Arabidopsis thaliana: one gene and its partner. The protein of the gene in region 2 interacts with the protein of the main gene of each other region in a pairwise test. Each region holds a gene or a part of one and is shown on either strand. Other genes may lie near its edges.

What was found. The genes of interacting proteins can lie anywhere in the genome.
Region 1: the proteins of TUB9 (region 2) and KIS interact in binary tests that used the Arabidopsis thaliana proteins (3 or more experiments, as listed by UniProt).

What each region holds. Positions count from the first base shown.
Region 1 is NC_003071.7:12,955,206-12,963,465, forward strand, and holds KIS (tubulin folding cofactor A (KIESEL)), read left to right. Parts: upstream 1-2,910; 5' UTR 2,911-3,109; exon of another isoform or gene 3,110-3,130; intron 3,131-3,993; exon of another isoform or gene 3,994-4,036; intron 4,037-4,083; exon of another isoform or gene 4,084-4,137; 5' UTR 4,138-4,271; intron 4,272-4,600; 5' UTR 4,601-4,606; coding exon 4,607-4,759; intron 4,760-4,890; coding exon 4,891-4,977; intron 4,978-5,245; coding exon 5,246-5,347; 3' UTR 5,348-5,563; downstream 5,564-8,260. Other genes in the region: OFP2 (ovate family protein 2), read left to right, coding at 1,387-2,349; ETC2 (Homeodomain-like superfamily protein), read right to left, coding at 5,732-5,897, 6,435-6,522, 6,626-6,710. UniProt on the Arabidopsis thaliana protein: Tubulin-folding protein involved in the control of the alpha-/beta-tubulin monomer balance. Functions as a reservoir of bound and non-toxic beta-tubulin. Required in the developing embryo.
Region 2 is NC_003075.7:11,179,491-11,187,269, reverse strand, and holds TUB9 (tubulin beta-9 chain), read right to left. Parts: upstream 5,179-7,779; 5' UTR 5,053-5,178; coding exon 4,659-5,052; intron 4,476-4,658; coding exon 4,206-4,475; intron 4,101-4,205; coding exon 3,430-4,100; 3' UTR 3,168-3,429; downstream 1-3,167. Other genes in the region: HEN1 (double-stranded RNA binding protein-related / DsRBD protein-like protein), read left to right, coding at 30-146, 341-460, 566-1,006; MS5 (Tetratricopeptide repeat (TPR)-like superfamily protein), read left to right, coding at 1,426-1,638, 1,823-2,035, 2,118-2,266, 2,355-2,471, 2,507-3,167; AT4G20880 (ethylene-responsive nuclear protein / ethylene-regulated nuclear protein (ERT2)), read left to right, coding at 6,664-7,779. UniProt on the Arabidopsis thaliana protein: Tubulin is the major constituent of microtubules, a cylinder consisting of laterally associated linear protofilaments composed of alpha- and beta-tubulin heterodimers.

The sequences.
Region 1 (8,260 bases), on a different chromosome or scaffold from region 2:
TGAAACTGATCATGATGGTGGAGTCCCATGAAGTTTTTAAAAACAATGGAGAATAGAAAAGGTTTTCTTATTGCAAATGTTTGGTGGCTCTTGCTTATAAACAAAATCCAATATGATGAGATAGTTTTGTTTTTGTATACTCAAAAAGTCGTTGATATATTGGTAGGTCAACATTGTTGAACATAAACCAGTCCCACGTCTAGTGAAAATATCTCCATTTTTTAAATATGAATAATCACTTGTGCTTATTTAAAGTAAGGATGGAAAATGTTTTATTTTGATTTTTGAATATCATTTTTTTCCTTCTCGAAGTTAAAAGATAAGTAGTTGCCAAAACATTTGATCTGGAAAGTGGAAATGTATAGAAGAAGAAAAAAAGTGTCCTCAAAATGTTCGGCGTTAGTGGACAAAGTAGACCAAAAAATTTCTCATATTCATTATTATGACTCAAAAGTTGATCCCACTTTATTCAGAGGAGAAAATGGAACATATTTGATTATCTTAATTTCATCATTTGTGTATCTGTATCACCTTAATATAACATAAAGTGCTACTATACTAAATTATTTCTACCTAAAAACTTAAGATAAGGTTCACACTTTACCAAATTCAAAGAAGCATCGAAATGAAACTATTGAACTTCATTATAACGTGTACTTTGAGTCTTTAACCTAGATAGATTCACATATGTTAAACTTTTAGTTGAATTGTGAAAACTTTGTTTTTATTTATTAAATTGATTTGTCCGTTTAGAAACGTTTTAATATTTTCAATCAAAAAGCATACTTCGAGGAAAAGAAGCTGTATTTTTCTTTTGTAATTGCCATTTGGTCAACCTTTTTGTGTATTCTTTAAAACTGTTTACATTTGCTACTGTTTTATAATTCGCTAATTACATTTTTCAGTTATTTTATCATTTCGATGAAGAGTAAAATCTCCATGAAATGATGATAGAAATCTGTCAGAAATCAGAAGCAACTGATTCTCTGTTTTATAATTATTTTTGTACTATTCCCTTAATTATATAATATTTTAGATAAAAGTTATGTTCTTATGATTTTCAGTTTTTCACCAAATACAATTTCAATTAGTCAACCAATTTTAAAAATTCACCATAAAATAAATTTATTAATTATGTGAGCACAAGCGTGTAAATGTGATGTCTCAAGTTGATGTTGATGATGAATGATGATGATACTAATAAAAGACATTCTTTAAGCTTTTTCTAGTAGTAGCCCCACTAGTTTCCAATTTTAATCTTCAGTTTCTTCTTTATCTGTCACATAGAGAACTTTGCTTTCTCACCTTCTTCTTTATCTAAGGAAACAAAAACAGAGTTTTCTTAAGAGAAATATCACAAACTTTTGTGAAAAAGAGAGAGACAAGATGGGGAATTACAAGTTCAGAATTTCAGAGATGCTCCCAAATGCATGGTTCCACAAGCTCAAAGACGTGACTAAACACTCTAAACCCAAAAACAAAGCTTCTTCTTCTTCCTCAAACACTTGTAGCAAGAAGAAACCTTCCTCAGATTCTCTTCCTCAACACTCTTATTTCTCCAACAGCTTAGTAGCTAACAATCCTCCTCACCATAACTCACCAAGAAACTCTCTTCACACAAAAAAGATGAGTAAAAGAAAGACACTTTACAAGCCATCCCTTAAACCTTTGACTCCTCCTCCTCTTCTTGTATCTGCAAGTTTCAACAAGAGCAAGATCAACGATCAAGATTCGTCTTACAGCTTGTTCCCGGCTATTGAAACCTCCCCTGAGTCTTTTGTGTATAGTTTCTACGAAGAGGATGATGATGATGAGTTCGTTGAATTTTCCAACTTCAAGATCAACACAAAGAACAAAGCTTTCACCAAGCAGAAGGTCAAAGTGATTGATTCGGTAGAGAAAGCTTGTACTGCAAGCAAGCCGATTAAGAAACCGCAGAAAAGCCATCTTTCTGTGAAAATTTCAAGAGATGAAGATGATAATGAATATAAAGCCGAGAAGAAGTACCAAAGGCAAGTTTCTAGTGGAAGAAAACCATCTGCTGGGATAAACCTCAAAAGAGTGAATTCACCTAGAATTCAACTCTCAGGTACTCGTAGAAGCACTTCTAGAAGATCAGAGAGCAAACAAGATGTTCTAGAGAGCTTCGCTGTGATGAAGCGGTCCGTTGATCCAAAGAAAGATTTCAGGGAATCAATGATTGAGATGATAGAAGAGAACAACATCAGAGCTTCGAAAGACTTGGAAGACCTTCTTGCTTGCTACCTTACTTTGAATCCAAAGGAGTATCATGATCTTATCATCCATGTTTTCGAACAAATCTGGCTTCAACTTACAAAAACAAAGTAAAGAAAAAAATAATTCTTAATGTAATAGTAGTTAACCTAATGGTGAAAGTAATTAGTATCATTCTGCTTGTGAAATTGTAGTTGTTGACTTGTTGTTGATGTTCATAAGAAGTTAGATGGAACTGTGGAGATTCTCTCTTTGAATCCCACTTTTTATGTATTGTTTTCTTTATTTATCTTTTTGGAAAATGTAAGCAAATAATAAAAGTTGTTATCATATTGTCGTTTTAATACAAACATGATCACTAAGGGCGTGAAAACACTGTTAATTAAGACAGATTTTTTTATCACTAATTAAACATATTCTTGTCTTCTCTATGATTATGAACATATAAAACTACTCACAAAAGATGATGCTTCAAGATTTGATTATTTCTTAGAATATGAAGATGGATTAATTGCGCCAATATCATTTGAATATTTTGAAAATACAAAGTTGAAAATGGCGGTAAACAGCAACAAGAAAAAGACAACAGTGAAGAGACATGAACAATTTGAAAACGCAACAAGTACGGAGTTTATATATATGCATGAAGAACATTGGATAATCGTTGAAGGTAGAGAGAGGACCACTGACACATAAAACTGAGATGTGATTAAAGAAGAAAGAAACAGTGATGAGATTTAATCCTTAAGGGTTTTTTTTTTTCTGTGAAGAAGGGAAGAATGAACTCATGAAGAAGAAGAAGAGGACCACTGTTGCAAATTCCATCCCCTACCACAGTTGGCTTATGAAGTTTCAGCAAAAGACATGTGATATGGTATGGTTTCTGACTTCTGAGTGAACATAAGCAACAAATATTCAAATCAATGGGCCTAAATGATCTTGCAGTTTTGGATTATAAAGTTAAGAATTAAAAAGAATAGGTGATATATGTATCATAATTTTAAGTTTTAAACAAGTATGTCAGACAAAATTCTACATTCTAATTTTATACATAGATATGAGATAACCTCATAACCATAAACTACACCAAATTTTCATGAACAAAATATGATTCACACGAACTTTTTTCTATCTTGATCACCTAGCTAACTTGACAAATTAGTTGTTCGTCTAAAACTACACAAACATTCAAAGTTCGTTTTAAATTCAATATATTTAAAAATAACAGTTAAAGTTTTATTAAATGGCATTCCAAATATTGATTCCTTCTAGAAAATTTGTGTGGTTTTAAATTGTGAAATTTGGATCTAGAAAAAATAGCAAGTGTGGTTTCTTGTGACCTATGGTTGTTAGTGTAGTTGTATACCATTTTTTAAAGTTACATTGTAATTTGTAAACCATTTTTGTGTGGTTGACAAAAAAAAAACCTATGACAAAATTGCTCCGTTTTTATTTTCAATAACAAATTATAATGTAAATTAATATGTATCATAGTGTTTTTAATAAAAATATTTAAAATTAGGATTGATTGTTCTGAAAAAAATAACGCAACTAATACTTTGTTAGCAAATACTAACGTTTACGTACCAAAAAAGCATTATGTAAATCCATTCATCCATCATTGTATACTTGACTTTCTACATTATTCTTTTGTTGTATCAAATTTAAAATTAATGAATGAACTTGACATAATAAAACACAAAATATATACTTAAATTGTACGATATAAAAGTTTGATTTACATATTTTATATCTATAAAAAAGGGTAAATAAATGAAATAAAACTTTTTTTTTTTTTTTTGTCAAAGAAATGAAATAAAACTCAAATTACATTTTTATGTCGTAATGCGAGCACACAAGTGAGTGCATATCCAGTATTAAGTTTTTTTTTTAATAATTCAGAATTGAAAGCAAAGGAAAAAGAAGAAATCGAAATCGGAAACTGTATATTGTTGTTCTTCGATTCCTCCTCGCTCTACGCCGCGTCCTCTCTCTCAAATTCATCGGAAGCAACCTTCTTCTCCCATCATCGCCTGGTTCGTTTCTAAACCCTACTTCTTCTATTTCACAGTATATCTTCCTTTAATTTTCAATCGAATCTAGCTTTGTGTCGATCTCAATGTAGATCGGAATCAAGTAAAAGAAATCGATGAATTCCAAAATGTTCCCGATCTATTGCAATGCACGAATCGTAGAATTATCACCTACATTAGTCTTGATCTAATCGCCCTATTTCAATTTCAAATTCGACATCGAAGTTTAAAGGAGATCGCAAAACCTAGTTATAGAATCGTTGCGTTTGAGTTGTTTCGCTGGTGATGTAGAAACCCTAATTTTGGTTGTCCTGTGTTTGGTACTTGCTCAGAATCCAATGGCAACGATAAGGAACTTGAAGATAAAAACATCAACATGTAAAAGGATTGTGAAAGAGCTTCACTCTTATGAGAAAGAAGTTGAGAGAGAAGCGGCTAAGACTGCTGATATGAAGGACAAAGGTGCTGATCCCTACGACCTTAAACAACAGGTACAGATTTCATTGTTTATCTCTCTGTATTCGAAGATTCGGAGCCCGTCTTTGTTCGTCAGAATCTAGAAATGCTGTGTTGTGCTGTGTTTAGACTTGGTTTTTCCTAATCTGTGTATGTGGTGATGCAGGAAAATGTGTTGGGTGAGTCTAGGATGATGATTCCGGATTGCCACAAACGTCTCGAGTCTGCATTGGCTGACCTCAAGTCCACTTTGGTAAACTACATTTTCCATTGTTATTGCTTGCTAAGCGTCGGTCTAGCTTTATGTATTAGTTTATAAGAAACGCTGAGCGGTGATTTGAAGTTTAAGAGCAGTAGTACATTATCAAACTATAACTTTTATATGTATCTATAGCGATTGGATTAATCCCCTGCATGAAACCATCTTAGTCTCTCTTTGAGGAAAAATGATGAATAAGGACACAGAGGAAACTGTGAATTCGTACTCTGTCTTTTGTCTCTAATGAAAACTGAATTTGCAGGCGGAATTGGAAGAGACGGATGAGAAGGAAGGTCCAGAGATCGAAGATGCAAAGAAGACAGTCGCGGATGTGGAGAAGCAGTTTCCCACTGAAGATGCCTGATTTAGCCAGCGATGAGTGTTAAATCTGTATTCTGAGAATGGTTAATCATCTGTAAGAATCTTTATATCTAAGGTTGCTTGTCGACTGTATACACTAAAAATATCTTTCTTTAACATTTTGGTGATTGTTCTTTCATTCAATATCTTTGAAATGGCACACTTGCTATAATGTGTTGTAAGCTGCAACTTAACGATTGATAATTGATATAACTTTGACAACCATGATTGTAAACTAAGTGAAGATTAAGAGCACGGATTTAGAAAAGGTGATCTTATTCTAATTTGTTTTGCGAAGAGATTCAACAATTTCTGAACCATTTATATGATGAGAAGACATTCAAGATTTGTTCTACTTTTATGATTGAAAGCTTTTATTTTGATTTCTTTACAATTTTAGATTTTCTTGGAGATTAAGAGGAGAAGTAGAAAAAAAGGGAGAATTATTAAGACGTCGTCGTTTGTGAGAAAAATAGTCAGAGTTTCTCATAATCCAGTATCTCTCAATCTCATTTGCCTTTCTTCCTACGACTCTTCCTGCTATTAAATCCCACCTGACAATCAATATTCAAGCATATAATGTGTTTTTGAATTATAGACGAGCACAAAATTCTGAAAAAACATTTATCAAAATTCAGGAGTCAACATATATAATGCAGAAATGAAATTTAAAATGTATATATATAAAGACAATAATATTCAAGAGCCAATATATTATTCAATCCTTTCACTGTTTTTAAAATCATCACACTTTAAGAAAAGAAGAAATTTTAGTTTCTGTTAATTATACATTTTATCAGTTTATCAACAACATAAAACTTTTTTTGAAATTATACAAGTAAAATACTCATGTCATTGCTTAAATATTGGCATGTCATTTTTCTCGAAACACGTTCGAAAGTCTAAACTACTCTAGAATCATGTTTACCATAACATAACACTTTATCAGCTTTGATTTGTTACTCTCGCCATGTGAATTTTTTTTAAATTATAAAATACTAGTTTTTTTTTTTTTTTTTTTAATTTTATAAAATACTAGTTGTTTTTAAAATATGTTGAATCGGACATGACAGAAGAAGAGAATTTGTTACCTATTACCGACAAGTCTGTACATTCGAGAGATGAGATCTTCTTCTTGTTCGGTCATACTGATAAACTCCCATTCGATGCTACTCACTTCTGCATTTTTGTTTCGTTTTATCCAAACAAAAATTAAATGAGAAGATAATTTAACGCTGACGAGTTAGGAGGATGAGTGTAGAGTAATGAATTGAAGAGAGACCTTCAGAGTCATATCGGGATCGAGTGAACTTAGTTTGCCTAAGACTGGGACCGCGACGAAGACGAAGACGGTTGGTATTATCCATAACTACTGGAAAATAGAAGAATATTAGATAAATTTACAGAGAAACTGAAAATGTAGAGTTTGGAGAATGCAAGATATAGAAAAGATGTGAGGGAAAAAAATAGTTATATAAAAAGAGAGAGAGAGAGATAGGTGATTTATTTTTTATTGGAATTTCTACGTATATATTCCTAAATTTATAATTCACATTTTTGTTTTTATATATCCCGATCGAATACGTCAAAACATAATTTCGTGATACGTTCGATTTGTTTTTTACTATTCCAAAAAGTTCATAATGCTCACAATAAATTTTGATCAGATTTTGTTTCTGACCTATAACAGAACATTTTAACAGTCACTAAAATGGCGTGCTAGTTTTATTTTTTTGCCTAGTAACGTATTAAAATCGAGTGAAAAACATCACATGCAAATACACTTCTCAATAAATATTATGAACACGTAATCCTACAAGTTCTAATTTAAAATCACAGTTTTTCTTTTTATATTTTAGAAATTTTTACGGACGGAGATGGCTGTGGAATGTGGATGTACATAATCTATAATTTTATTTTACAGTTCTCCAATAACATTAGGTGAAATTTTTTCCCCGAAATTTTCGACTTCGTGAAAATTGGACAAAAAAAGTCCATAAACCGTTAATTTCGTGTTGTGATATAGATTTGTGGGTCGTAAATAATACTAGCAAAATCCAACAAAACTTTTGTTTTCTTGTGCTTTTTTCTCTTTAGATTTTTTTGTGTGTGTCTAATTTTACATATGCATGCCCTACAGATAATTCCTATTTATGCATCTACAGAACTCAATTATCGTCTCAGTGATAATAAATGCAGTAACTGTAAGAAACGGACGTATCAATTTCTTTTCCTGACAGATTGAAAGTTGTCTTAGAGAAATCGGTACTTATATAATGAGCATATCATTTTCTCAGCGTGAAATCAGAATGAACCATTTATGATTTTACCCACTATATATTAAAGAAGTAGGTTAGGAGAAAATTGATCCTACGTGGTACGTATTAGCTAAGACCAATTCAAAAATATGAAATTCCTCTAATTTATCATTATGTGATCATAATACTGGATATATATAAATTTATCGACAAGCATTCGTTAACAAAAGGAAAGTTATCGACAACATTCAGTATAACAAATTTTCAGTCATGGACTAGAACGACTTCATTGAAACATGCTTTCGGATTGCAGCTGTTGTCTGGTCACTTCGACTAAACTTGTAAAAGCTGTCGAGACAAAATCATACATTTGAAGTATCCCATATGGCTATGTACGTATATATACAAATTTTAAAACCAGATCAGTAATTAATGCATACGAGCTCAGGGCTGGTCCTGAGAGTATTGGGCACATACGAGCTTCTAAGACGGCTGATATGACGGACAAAGGAGTTCACCTGTAATGACCCGCTCTCATTATAAAGATTTTATGTCGTGATCATTATTAAGGTTTTGAAAGTTATTAATATATATACACAAATGATGGTTCTCATGTGAAGAATGGTTCTAAGTAAGAAAGGACAAGAAATTATATTTGC
Region 2 (7,779 bases):
ATAAGATGGCACCTCTATTCTTGTTACAGGTTGACTTTGGATGCGGATCTGGAAGTTTATTAGACTCTCTACTTGACTATCCAACTTCACTTCAAACCATCATCGGTGTTGACATTTCGCCAAAGGGTCTTGCCCGTGCTGCTAAGGTCTGCAAAATCACACATCACTGTTTTTTATTCCCGCTCGTAGACATAACTTGATGAGACTAATGCATCAAAATAATTGATAAATGTTTGATGAAGAATGTATTTGCACCACTCATGATTCTCTGCATTTTGTGTAATTGAAAAGAAATGGTAGATTTACTTATGCTTTTGTGTATCTTGTGTTTCAACTTTAGATGCTACATGTAAAACTAAACAAGGAAGCTTGCAACGTCAAATCTGCTACACTTTATGATGGTTCCATCCTTGAGTTTGACTCCAGGCTGCATGACGTTGACATCGGCACTTGCTTAGAGGTCCACCTCTCATCTGCTCTCTAATCCTTCAAATTTTGTACACGTTTATCAAAAGCAATCTGTCTGGTTTCGGCGTTAAATCTATAATCTGTTCCTAATCTGTAGGTTATTGAACACATGGAAGAAGATCAAGCCTGTGAATTTGGGGAAAAAGTTCTGAGCTTGTTCCACCCCAAGCTCCTGATTGTCTCAACACCAAACTACGAGTTCAACACAATTCTCCAGCGGTCTACACCAGAAACCCAAGAAGAAAACAACTCGGAGCCACAGCTTCCAAAGTTCAGGAACCATGACCACAAATTCGAGTGGACAAGAGAACAGTTCAATCAATGGGCATCAAAGCTCGGCAAACGCCATAACTACAGCGTCGAGTTTAGCGGTGTTGGTGGGTCTGGTGAAGTAGAACCCGGATTTGCTTCTCAGATAGCTATTTTTAGACGGGAAGCTTCATCTGTTGAGAATGTTGCAGAAAGCTCAATGCAGCCTTATAAAGTCATCTGGGAGTGGAAGAAAGAAGATGTAGAAAAGAAAAAGACTGATCTTTGACTAGAGTAGTATCTACCAGAGAATATATATATTGCAAGCAATGTGATGACGTGTTCATCTATAAAACTCAAAGCTCGTTTAGTTCTTTTGCCATGAGCTTTTGCAGATTAACCATAAAATCGAACCTTTATGTTTACAAGATCCTTTTGTCTCCAAGTCTACTGGTCCGTTGAAGTTTAAAGATTAGATCAGTAGATTACCCTTTTTGCCCCTACGTTAAAGTTTGTTTATTTAAATACAAGTCCTTGTGATTTTTATCACTTTCTCACTTCTTCAACGACACTGATTCGTTTTCAAAGCATTTGCGTTCTTGATCTTTTTCACGAGGGCGATTTCTGAAGAACACGAGAATTTGAATTCTGGGAAAAGCTTTCTCGAACTTTATCTGAGTAAATTGACAGAGAGAATCGAAAAAGAAAATGTGTCCCTGCGTAGAGCGTCGTGCTCCACCTGGAGTTTACTATACTCCGCCGCCGGCGAGAACAAGTGATCATGTGGCGGCGATGCCGATGACGGAGAGGAGGAGACCACCGTATTCTTGTTCTTCGTCGTCGGAGAGACGTGATCCGTTTCACATTGTTCATAAAGTTCCTTCTGGTGATTCTCCTTACGTCAGAGCCAAACACGCGCAGGTATAATCAATTTTCCCGCGAAAACAAGACAGGGGAATTTTTCTTTTGACCTAATTTAGGAATTCTAGATTCTTCCTCATGTGATAAAATCTCTTAAAAGCTTTTCAAATTTTGAGTGATCTTCTTGAACCTGTCTATGATTGAGGTTTTCTAACAAATGGATATTGTTTATGTGGAAGAACAGTTGATAGATAAAGATCCGAACAGAGCTATATCATTGTTTTGGACTGCAATAAACGCTGGAGATCGAGTTGATAGTGCTTTGAAGGATATGGCCGTTGTAATGAAACAATTAGGTCGATCTGATGAAGGGATTGAAGCTATTAAATCCTTTCGGTATCTCTGTTCTTTCGAGTCTCAAGACTCGATTGATAACTTGCTACTCGAGCTCTACAAGGTAATGCAGCCTCCTTCTTTGTTAATGCAGCAAGTGTTATGGAGTTGTTATAACTTGGAAATGGGTTTTGGTGTTTTTGCAGAAGTCAGGGAGAATTGAAGAAGAAGCTGTTTTACTTGAGCACAAACTGCAAACACTCGAACAAGGAATGGGATTTGGTGGTAGAGTCAGTAGAGCAAAAAGGGTTCAAGGAAAACATGTTATTATGACTATCGAGCAAGAGAAAGCAAGGTGAGAAAGTTTCGGTGTATTCTCATGTTAGCTTGATGAGTGTTTTGTCTCTTGAATTGACGTTTCCATTGTTGTTTGAACATTTTAGGATACTAGGGAACTTGGGCTGGGTTCATTTACAGTTACATAACTATGGAATTGCAGAGCAGCATTACAGGTTTGGTTTTGTTACCAAAATCCCAAATATTGATTACTGTCTGGTCATGTGAGTTTTGCTTATATTCAACTGATTATGAACAGGAGAGCTTTGGGTTTGGAGCGAGACAAAAACAAACTCTGTAACCTTGCAATCTGCTTGATGCGTATGAGTCGAATTCCTGAAGCTAAATCTCTGCTTGATGATGTAAGAGATTCTCCTGCAGAGAGTGAATGCGGAGATGAACCATTCGCAAAGTCTTATGACCGAGCCGTCGAAATGTTAGCAGAAATAGAATCGAAAAAGCCAGAAGCTGATCTTTCGGAGAAGTTCTACGCGGGATGTTCATTTGTGAATAGGATGAAGGAAAATATAGCTCCTGGAACCGCAAACAAGAACTACTCAGATGTTTCTTCGTCTCCAGCATCTGTGAGACCGAACTCTGCAGGTCTATATACACAACCACGCAGATGCAGATTGTTTGAAGAAGAGACGAGAGGTGCTGCTCGAAAGCTACTATTTGGAAAACCACAACCTTTTGGCTCTGAACAGATGAAGATCTTAGAGAGAGGAGAAGAAGAACCCATGAAGCGAAAGAAACTGGACCAGAACATGATTCAATATCTCCATGAATTCGTCAAAGATACAGCAGATGGTCCGAAGAGTGAATCAAAGAAAAGCTGGGCAGATATCGCAGAAGAGGAAGAAGCAGAAGAAGAAGAAGAAGAAAGATTGCAGGGAGAGCTTAAAACCGCAGAGATGTAGGATCTATTTGTACCGGTTATCAAGTTTTTTGGATCATAGAAATTGTATAGGCTTTTGACATTGAAATATTTTCATAGACAAAACAAAGAAGCATAGGCAAATGTGATTACACTCTGGAACAAATCTTAGGTTTGGGAAAGAAATTCAATAACAAAACACACAAAGCACAAAAAGAGAGAATCCCAATTCAGAAAAAGAGGTAAAAGGAAATGAGTGCGACGAACTTACAGCCTTACAAAAGTAATAATCAATCATCTTTTCTTTAGGCTTCTTCTTCTTCTTCGTCCTCCTCGTACTCCTCTTCACCGACTGTAGCATCTTGATATTGCTGATACTCTGCAACAAGATCATTCATGTTACTCTCTGCTTCAGTGAACTCCATCTCGTCCATTCCTTCTCCTGTGTACCAATGAAGGAAAGCCTTTCTCCTGAACATGGCAGTGAACTGTTCACTCACACGCCTGAACATTTCCTGGATTGAAGTTGAGTTTCCAATGAAAGTTGATGCCATTTTCAAACCAGTGGGAGCTATATCGCAGACGCTTGATTTCACGTTATTTGGAATCCATTCAACAAAGTATGAGGAGTTTTTGTTCTGGACGTTCATCATCTGTTCATCAACCTCTTTGGTACTCATCTTTCCACGGAAGACAGCAGAAGCTGTCAAGTAACGACCATGACGAGGATCAGCTGCACACATCATGTTTTTGGCATCCCACATCTGTTGAGTTAGCTCAGGGACACTCAAGGCACTGTATTGTTGAGATCCTCTTGATGTCAAAGGTGCAAAACCAACCATGAAGAAGTGGAGTCGTGGGAAAGGAATAAGGTTCACAGCAAGTTTTCTAAGGTCAGAGTTTAGTTGACCAGGGAACCGAAGACAGCATGTAACACCACTCATTGTAGCTGAGATGAGATGGTTAAGGTCACCAACTAAGATACACCACCACATAAGAAAGAAGAACAATGTCAGGATTTTCAAAACTACAATCACATGAATATTAGAAAACAAGAGAATAAATGGTTTGTAAATCTCACATGTAGGATTAGCAAGCTTCAAGGTACGGAAACAGATATCGTAAAGAGCTTCGTTATCCAAAACCATACATTCATCAGCATTCTCAACGAGCTGGTGAACGGAAAGAGTAGCATTGTATGGCTCAACAACTGTATCAGAGACCTTAGGAGATGGGAAGACCGAAAAGGTCATCATCATACGATCTGGATATTCCTCTCTAATCTTAGAAATAAGAAGTGTTCCCATTCCAGAACCAGTTCCTCCTCCCAAAGAATGACAAACTTGAAAACCTGCTCCACAAATGAATCATCAATCAGAGAATGAAATCAAACGCTAAACAAAGCATCTATGAAGGAGTTTCTAATAGCAGATCTGAATTCGAATGCATACAGGAACAGGAAACGCTAACAAATCAAAACACAAACGAGATTCAGAAAACGAAAACCTAGAAAATGAAAGCGTATCTCTCTCACCTTGAAGACAATCACAGTTCTCAGCTTCCTTCCTCACAACATCAAGCACAGAATCAATCAACTCAGCTCCCTCCGTGTAATGACCTTTCGCCCAGTTATTCCCAGCACCAGACTGACCAAAAACGAAGTTATCAGGCCGGAAAATCTGACCAAACGGCCCAGATCTGAGAGAATCCATAGTTCCAGGCTCCAGATCCATAAGAACAGCACGAGGAACGTATTTGCCTCCGCTAGCTTCGTTAAAATAGACATTGATCCTTTCAAGCTGTAGATCTGTATCGCCACATGACTGACCGGTTTGATCAATACCGTGCTCGCCGCAAATAACTTCCCAGAACTTAGCTCCGATCTGGTTTCCGCACTGACCTCCTTGAATATGAAGAATTTCTCTCATTTTCACTCGGATGTTTTTTTTTTGTTCTTTCTTTCTCTCGGGAATCGCTTTTAGTCTATTTTCTCGAGAAAATGATGAGAAAATTTGGCGACTCCCTCTGTTTATTGTTTATGATTGAGGGGTATAAAAACAAATGAGAGTAGTAATCGGCTATATATAGTTTACCTCCTTTTTTCTCTAGTTTCTCAAATAATTTGCATTTTCGTCCTTAGACTTCTATTGGTTTTTGATATTACCCTGATAGTTTTTCGATTTGGTTTCCTTTATGTGCTGTTATACAGCGAATCAAAAACAAATATCTTTCCTTAGATATTTTTGTTAATTAATTATAAAATATTTACAAAATCACTCGTGAAAGTTATATAAAGGCAAATTGTTTTCTACGCTTTTTTATATTATTGATTAGATCCTTTTTTCTTCGGATATTGAAATTAAAGACCAAAAGATTCGAATTTGCGTCATTAGTGGATTTTCCTTTGTTGTTTTTCACACCAATAATAGGCAATTTTACTTATTTAGCAAATCACCAAATTAATTAGATAAGCTGACAATAGAAATTAGAAGTAAATGGCTTACAGGCAAATAACAACTCATAAATATGACGATTTTAGAATAGTTAATCTGTTGCATAAATATCAATTTTCAAGTGAAAAAATATTACTATATGTCTTGCTTCTAAGTTTATTATATGAATCAACGGTTCAAACAAAAAAAAATCTATCAGGAAGGTTTTTTAGCATCTAACTATAGACACAATTCGTTGATAGGTTTAACAATAGATGAAATTGTTCAAATTATCTTTAGACAAATTTTAAAAATGTAAGGATCTTAAAATAGCTATTACCGGTTTACCATGTTTAGTTCACAAATAATATGGATGCATATTTCGGTTGTTTAGTTTAGTTTAGTTCGATGTAATTTGTTTGCTTACAAAATATAATTGAACAAAAATCTTAAATCTGTTTCGGAATGGTTTGTTTTTTTCACCGGTTTACCAAATTCACTTTTGCTTCGGTATAAATGAATTAAGATTTTGAAGCTACTGTTATACCATACTTGTAGTCATTAATGTTTTTACATATTGGGGAAATTAAGCTGAATAAATTAGTTTTTGTAAAGTTTAAGTCTAAAATAAATAAATTGATCAGCTTTATTAGAATTTTTTTATTAGAATTAATTTAATAATTTCGGTCAGATGGACATAGGTAATATTTTGGTACAGCAGAAAGTGTAAAATCTTAAAAACTGCATAGTACAGTTGTACAAATTTAACAAAAATGGAAATAAATAACAAATTTTTTGTAACAAAAAAAAGGAAGTAAAATAATTGGTTAAGGCACGCGTCGTCCTGCAATGTCTTTTTAGCGGTTTCCTCATCATATCTCTCTCTCTCTCATTTCACTTTCTGCGCAAAGAGGGCAGGAAGAGGTTTCTTCTCCATTTATTGCATTTGTCTCTCCAAAATGTCTAATTAATGGTTTTGATCTTCCAACCAGATCTTCTTCTCTATCTCTTCGACAAACCCTTTTTTCTGGGTTCTTCGGAGAGGTGATTTATCACCAAAAAAAAGATTTTAAAAGTCTAAATCCTTTTTTCTTTCTTTCCTTCAACATGCCTTTACCTTGGAAGAAATCTAAATCTAGTCGGATCTCTAGATTCGTATCAGACTTTCAACAATCTCCTAAACATGGTGGATCTCTCGTTGTTGAAACTGGTTTCCCAACTTCTTTAATCGATCTCTTTGTTAAGAATCGCGATCGTCTCAAAAAACAATCTTCAAAACGTAACAACAAGAACAACAAAGCCCAGACTGAAACGCGTGTTTTGTCTCCACCTCCTCCTCATATGTCTTTGCAGCGTCGTATGTCTCTTCCTTCCAAGCTTGATCCAGCTTTGGTTACAGAGGATTCTCCTTTGGTGAGAAAGATCGAGGAAACTTCTGTTCCGGAGATTATCCATGAAGACGACGGTGGTCATCGCGGTGGAGGAGGAGGAGGGTGTGTTTTGATAGTGGTGGTGTTTAAGGTTTTTATGGTGGCTGTGCTTGCCTTGAGCACGAAGAAGCTCGCCGTGGGGATCACGCTCTCTGCTTTTGCCCTTCTCTTCCTCGAGCTTGCGGTGGCGCGTGTCTTCACGTACTTGAATCTCTGTCCCGACGCGCAGATTCGGATAGATTCTTTGATCGATAAGCTCATAGGGAAGCGACATAAAGAGAAGCTAGAAGAAGAAGAAGAATCAACATCGACGCATGACAGAAGAAACAATGTCTACTTTGAAATCATCGAAGAACCTAGAGAGGAGATTAGAGTCACTCCTCAATCGGATTCGTCGTCATTGGAGAAGGCGAAACTTGTGGTGGATGAGAAGAAAGAAATGCAGACGATAAGAGATGTTATGTTTAAGACTGAGAAAAGCAAAAGCGCGAAGCTGAAATCAAAGATTGTGAAGAAGATTGTGCCAAAGAAGCTAAGGAGTTATAAGAAGAAGAAGAAGATGAAGAACAAAGAAAAAGAAGAAGAAGAAGTTGAACTTGAAACTGAAGAAGAAGGGTCTATGACAGAAGTTTCTAGCTTGTATTCAGATGAGAGAATCGGGAGTGAAATCTCTGAGAGGGATGATTTGAGTTCGAATCCGCCATTTTTAGAGAGTTGTACAGAGGTTGAAGAAGAAGAAGAGACTGGACCAAAAGAGGATCTAACGAAAGTGATTGGTTTGATAGTGATTGTT